2 linked regions of the Bombyx mori genome follow. The protein of the gene in region 1 interacts with the protein of each later gene in a pairwise test. Links are inferred from orthologs where the notes say so. Each region holds a gene or a part of one and is shown in the gene's direction. Other genes may lie near its edges.

What was found.
Region 2: the proteins of N-alpha-acetyltransferase 35, NatC auxiliary subunit (region 1) and N-alpha-acetyltransferase 30 interact in a two-hybrid assay, tested with the Drosophila melanogaster proteins (2 studies listed by BioGRID). The link is inferred for Bombyx mori from reciprocal best matches to the Drosophila melanogaster genes Naa35 and Naa30A.

Annotation. Positions count from the first base shown.
Region 1 is NC_085111.1:6,438,934-6,441,740, forward strand, and holds the end of N-alpha-acetyltransferase 35, NatC auxiliary subunit, read left to right. Parts: intron 1-292; coding exon 293-450; intron 451-1,036; coding exon 1,037-1,130; intron 1,131-2,080; coding exon 2,081-2,221; 3' UTR 2,222-2,260; downstream 2,261-2,807. UniProt on the Drosophila melanogaster protein: Auxillary component of the N-terminal acetyltransferase C (NatC) complex which catalyzes acetylation of N-terminal methionine residues.
Region 2 is NC_085124.1:7,689,656-7,693,880, forward strand, and holds N-alpha-acetyltransferase 30, read left to right. Parts: upstream 1-1,295; 5' UTR 1,296-1,322; exon of another isoform or gene 1,323-1,399; 5' UTR 1,400-1,785; coding exon 1,786-2,496; intron 2,497-3,159; coding exon 3,160-3,324; 3' UTR 3,325-3,757; downstream 3,758-4,225. Other genes in the region: NEDD8-activating enzyme E1 regulatory subunit, read right to left, coding at 3,915-4,225.

The DNA of each region.
Region 1 (2,807 bases):
GGAGAAATATGGTATTTCCCACACTTATAGATAACATAGAGAAGGAATGCAGAATGCTAATATTTTTTAAGTTATACATTAATAATACATTAAATCAATAAAAAAAAACATTACACACACTACCATATATTTGACATAAACACACACACACGCATAAATGCTCTTTAGTTTATTGTTAAAGTCTGTTACTGTGTCTGTCTATCAAATTGAGAATAACTTTCTAGTTTGGTCAGTTTTTGATTTTCTAACCATTTTCAGTGTCACCCCCCTATAAATTTGATTGTTTCCGCAGGCGTTAGTCGCTTTCAAGCTGCAAGGGAAGATCCGTCAGCCGCAGTCCGAGTTCGACAACGAAGCGGTCCGGTACAAGCACCGGTTCGCGCCGCTCTCCGGCCTGAGTCCGCCCCAAGTCCACTACCACGAGTTCTGCGAGATGACGCAGCCGCTGCAGTGAGTTTTCAGCTTTAAGACACAAGTCGATTGAGTCGATTTTCGAGTAACGCTCGCGCGATCGTCGGGTCGTCGACCTGTGTATGCTGGGTGTTAGGAGTTAAAGTTAGTAATGACAGCTATCATGATGGGACGGGAAAAAAATCGATACAGATTTAAAAAAAAAATCATATTTTTAAAATTTTTTATTAGCATTATTTACGCTCCATCATGTTAGAACATGGAAGTCGTCGTGGCCTAAAGGATAAGACGTTCGGTGCATTCGTATGTAGCGATGCAACGGTGTTCGAATCCCGCCGGCAGGTACCAATTTTTCTAATGGAATACGTACTTAACAAATGTTCACGATTGTACAGTACAGATGGAAAAAAAAATATCGAGGCGTAAAAGATGGTTTTGTTTAAATGACATTTTTCCTATTTTACAAGAGAGTCATTTAAAGTTTAGAAGTTGGAAAAGATAACGTAACAAAAAAACTTTATTAGCCATTTAAATGGAACTTAATTGAAATATAGACGCACCCTAAATTACAAAGATAAATGTCGCGTATACACACCTCGATATAATATGTTTTGTTACATTGCAGGTACGAGAACCCTGTGATTCTGTATCTCGGTGGCTACAAACATTTTCAACAAGCTCGTTCCTTATTGGAAACTATAACCGTTCCCGATCAAGAGGTAAGATTTTTTTATTAATACAGTAATCGAAATGGTTCTGTAGGATTCGTTTAAAAAAAAAAAACAACAATAAAGCTAATTACTAGATCCTATGTTACGTGAAACTTCCTACTTTTTTTATTTTTTTTTATTGCTTGGATGGTTGGACGAACTCACAGCCCACCTGGTGTTAAGTGGTTACTGGAGCCCATAGACATCTACGACGTAAATGCGCCACCCATCTTGAGATATAAGTTCTAAGGTCTCAGTATAGTTACAACGGCTGCCCCACCCTTCAAACCGAAACGCATTACTGCTTCACGGCAGAAATAGGCGGCGTGGTGGTACCTACCCGTGCGGACTCACAAAGGTCCTACCACCAGTAAAGTGACATATAGGCAAAGTAATGAAAGTCTGAATAATCAAAAGTCGAATTTGAGATTTTAGGAAGATATCTGAAATATACTATGGTATTATAATCTAAATATAATAACATCCTACTAAACTGACCATCGTTGAATGTACGAAATACACTGTTTTATTAAAAGTGCATTAGCTCACCACCTTTTTGTGGTACTATGACGAAAACCTTTCCTGATATGTATATGATAAATATCAAGTTTCAAGTAAATTAGACCAGCAATACCAAAACACCTAATATATCAACAAACGAACAATTGGGTGGCAGTAATCTGTACTGTAAAATTATATAATCTACATTAAATGTGGAAATTTGTATCTTTTGTTGTTTCTTAGAGCTTACTAAATTACAGAAGTGACTGAATGAATTTTAATGAAATTTCTCATATCCATCTATTTATCTATTTTTATATTGACTTATTTAATCTAGTTTGAAGAACGATATGAAATAGCTCTCGTGAAACTACATGGAGGGTAGTTCATTGAAAAATATATATGCGTAAACTGGCCACAGAGTAATGTAATTATTAAATAAATAAATTTATTTTCAGGTGCAAGATCTGCTCAAAGTTGCCAAAACAAATTTTGTCGTTTTAAAACTATTAGCGGGAGGACACAAAGCCGACACAACTACATCGCCCGAGTTTGATTTCTCTGTACATAGACACTTTCCTATTATCAAATTAGTTTGATATTATTGTATATATGAATAAATAAATAAAGTTACGTGATCTGTGTATTTTTATGTAGTCTGTGCAGTTTGGCATCCCTAGATAAGAAAATTAATTTATGGCAACATTATCCTAAGTTCTGTAGTGTATTTACGGAGGCTATTACTAAGGAGTAACCTTTGTGCTTAAGAAGCGCCTGTCGAAAAGTAACCATTAATAGGCTGAGGGCGCCCCCGTAGCAAGTGGTGTAATATCGAATTTAGCGCCAAAAGTTAATATATTTTTAACCTAAGCACTGGTAGCCTTGAGGGGCTATTTTAGCTTCTCTTGGCTGTTATTTTTGAAATTCATCACTACACACTCCGTTTACATCTGCGATATTCATATCATACGACTTATTATTAATAGCGCTGTTTTGGTGGATTTTTTATGTTGCAATTAACTTGCAGTTGGACATTTTTTCAAATTGTCACCAATAAAAGAGAGTTTCGTTACCTCTAATCTCCTTATGTGCATTCATTATAAAAAAGAAAAATATTTAATATTTTTACTCAAAAACAAGGTTCAGCGTTACTTCTTTTTGAAGTCGCTTAAAAATAGAAAAAGG
Region 2 (4,225 bases), on another chromosome or scaffold:
ACATAGACAACCCTACAAACCTGTACCTATTTATACTTAGGTCGTTTCCATTTCACGTATTCTCATCCCAATTGACCCCTTTTTCGTTGTTATTTGTACCTGAGACGTCCCCAATATCCCCAAAAACAACAGATTTTTACATGTATTTTTATTTAATCAAATACATTAAAACCAATAACAACTGAGACTTACCTTTAATATATATGCTGGTTCAAACACTAAATAACGTTTATAAATCATAGTCGTCTTCTATTATTATCAAATAAATAAAAGAGAGCAAAGTTTCTAGCACTAAAATAATTACCACCACAGGAAGTTAATTTGAAACGCGATTTTTTATAAGTTAGCAGCTATTATCATGCATATTCAGAGTTGTTTTGTGAACTTTCAACATTCTACTATTAAACTACAAAAAATGGAAGATTTTGCAACGAATATAAAACTTATATTGAGCGTCGAAAGATTTTCCCGGTTTTTTCCCGATTCGCCTTTCAATCCCTAATCGCCCCATTTTACCGGTACCTATTCAAGCAGCCGAATACTGTAGTGGGTTGTATTTTGTATTAACTAAATCCTACTGAAATAAATTAGTGTTTTAGCCTCTATGGTTCCTTTTTTTAAAGGAATTCTATGACCTGGTAACTAAGACCTTTCAGTCATTTGTTATTTTAATTTAGATTCTTATTTTTACGAAAATTAATTTGAGACATTAATCAACTGGGATGAAATGAAATGAGATGAGATAATATGGGATGACATATAATCTCAGTAAAATAGTGGTCATTTACTGAGACTTTTTCAGTGATCTTTTTGGAGGATCCTGAGAAGTTACGTTCAGCGGCTTTGTTTCATTTTCCCACATTTGTGCACTTTTACAAATATCAAACAGTTAATAAACCACCGTTATTACACATTAAACCTGAAGAAACACTAAATAGACAAAATAAAACAAATCAACGGTGGTTTATTATCTATTTAGTATCTGCGAAAGTGCACAAATGTGGGAAAATGAAACAAAGTCGCTGGGCGTAACTTCTCGGGATCCTCCAAAAAGCCTACTGAAAAAATTTCAGTAAATGACCACCATTTTACTGAGATTATATTTCATCCCATATCATCTCTTATCACTTCATTTCATCCCAGTTGATTAATGTCTCAAATTAATCATCTTCATTTCATTCCATATTATCATTTTTCATAAAAATAAGAATATAAATTAATATAAGACATGACTTAAAGGTCTTAGTTACCAGGTCATAAAATCCCTCAAAAAAAACCAATTGTCAACACAGAAACTCGCTAACATTTTCAGCACACAAAAAGTTCGTTCTATCTACTTCTTTTTACCCAAAGATTGCTAAAGTTAGAATGAAATAGATATACTTTTGTTAAATTGCAGGAACCTGATAAGGTAATTGTGATTGCTTTGGATATCATCGTCTCTGAAATGCAGTTCGTATTATTTGCAATGTGATAGGTCCAATATTGTCCAAGTTGAGAAATCTTCTCGTCAAAAATACAAAAGTTCGAGTACATACCTACATGTGTACGCCTGACGAAGATCGTGTTACATCAGAAGAATTTGAATATTATTTCTATTCATTCTCAAAATCTACTCAAACACCAACTGGAATGGAGTTTTAAATGACAAATCAACTTGCCAAGATGTCGGTGATACTCCTCTATGAATTTGACAAGGAGAAGATGTGTATGTTGGTATAAAACAGAAATTGGACGAGCTTAAAAATCCTTTGAATGTGTAAATAACCTAGGTAGATCTACGTCATGAATAAAGTAGCGGATAACAACGTTCAGAATATAAAGTGTAGTCAAATGAACACGAAAAATAAAAGTAAAAAGACCAAAGATCTTTCTCAAGCTGATGAACTTTGTATAAAGAGTCAAGAACATTTGAATGAGACTTTAGCTAATACTCTACACATTAATAATATCAATAGTAACCTAACCAATGGAACGAGCGACCATTCGAACGGCAGTTCCGAAGTTTTAAGTGAGAAAGCAGATGGACAAGGTGAAACAGTGAACAAGGTCACGAACGATGTAAATAGTGTACAGCATAATGACACATCAAATAATTTTGAAGGCAAAAAGACAACCATGCCTTCAATAAACAGGTGTTTGTTAGATATGGCCTTAGAGAAGCTTGAGATAAACACCAACAATGAAGATCTATTGCCTCGTGATGACGTTGATATTGTCTCTTATGAATCTGAGTTACAAATGCCTGAAATAATGAGACTTATACAGAAGGATTTATCTGAACCATATTCTATATACACCTATAGATATTTTATTCATAATTGGCCTAAACTTTGCTTTCTGGCAAGACATGAAGGGAAGTGTATTGGTGCCATTGTATGTAAGTTAGACATTCATCGAAATGCAGTAAAAAGGGGCTACATTGCAATGTTGGCTGTTGATGAGAAATATAGGAAGCGAAAGATTGGCTCAAGATTAGTGCGGAAAGCAATTCAGGTTTGTAAAATGAAAATTATCATAAACTTGGCCATATCACTAAATCATATTTACCTAAATATGGCATGTACTAAAGGCTCTACTTCTAGAAGAAAAGTTATTTTAAACAAATATTTTACTTCCCTTAAAATACCTATAGGTAATGTGTAGGATAAGTGTGGTAAATGGAAAACCCATTGTTGGGGGTCAGTGGTAGACAGATCGGTTTGCATATTTATGGTAAAAGAGGATGTCTTTGTCATATCACAATTCCAAAGAGTATCCTTTGCCACTTTCTTATAGTATTGGGATCCTTGGGGTCAATATTTCGAGCAGTGTTCAGCATCAATGTTGGGAATGTAGACAACAACAGAGTGAATTAGTACAGAATGCCTAGACAAAGACCAGTAAAGCTTTAAAAAGTGCATGTCTTGCTTTATGTGGTGCTGTTCCCATCTCTTGTTGAGGACACCAAAATGTTTGCTACTTCCATTTAACTCTATAATAAAGGGGTACCTAATTTGAGTTGTTAAAAATCCTATTCTCATTGATTGTTTGGAAATGTGTATTTTACCATATTATGTTCCAAGGGGAGTGCTCTCAGGAATTGTTTAAGAATTGATTTAGAGACACAACTTAACTTAAAAAATTTGTACATTTTAAATATACATGTTTTTTTTTCAGGCGATGATAAATGACACTGCTGATGAAGTAGTCTTAGAAACAGAAATCACAAACAAACCAGCACTGAAGTTATATGAAAACTTGGGTTTCGTAAGGGATAAACGCCTATTTCGATATTATCTTAATGGTGTTGATGCATTGCGGTTGAAGTTGTGGCTAAGGTGAAATAAGTAGCTAACCGATGAGATTTCTCAATTTTGTGTTTAAATAACTTGCAATATGCAGTATTGAGTATATACATAAAATACTACTGTTTATATTCTTATCTATTGTGCAACATATTGCCATCTATGTGGATCTAGCCAAATGTAGTGTTTATTTCTCATTTTAATTCAAAATCATGTGATACATTGTATGTAATTTATTATAATTTTTTTTCTCAAATACTGTTTAATGATAAAATCTATTGTAACAAAAATAATGAAAACAATCGAAAATTTAAAAACACAAATTGAAAAATTTTTTTAGTCTCTAATTTTGTTTATGATTTCCCTCTATTGATGTTATTTTTTTCAAGTTTAAAGATGAATCTTAGATTTCTAAAAAATTCTGTAATAAAACAGATCGATTCAAAACACAATTAAAAAGTTTTAAATGATGTCTTTTTTATCTATACCTTATCAACAAGCTTAAAAAACATAGGTACTCCAATTTGAAAATGTATTTTTTTTGGACTGGGATAGGTAGTAAAACCAATAGAATATTTATTGGTTTTATTTGCTAGTAATAAAATGGTATCCAGCAGCTATAAGAATTTAGAATTCAAATGTTGCCGTATTTGTAGAAGCTCCATCATAAATAAATGTATTATTTACAGGTTTATATTGCTTGGTTATAATTTTAATGGCTTCATGTGCAACACATCCACCTAAAAAGGCAGACACACTATGTATCTCGGCTCCCCCATAGCGACACATTTCGTGGATATGATCATCTTTAGGAAATGGAGAACAAGATATATCACCTAAAAGTTTATTTACACAAGTTTTTAGCTTAGCAATGTCACCTTCTGGTTCCCAATCACCGGGAGCTCGGCAGTGCTCTGATCTAAACATACCAGCTGCCC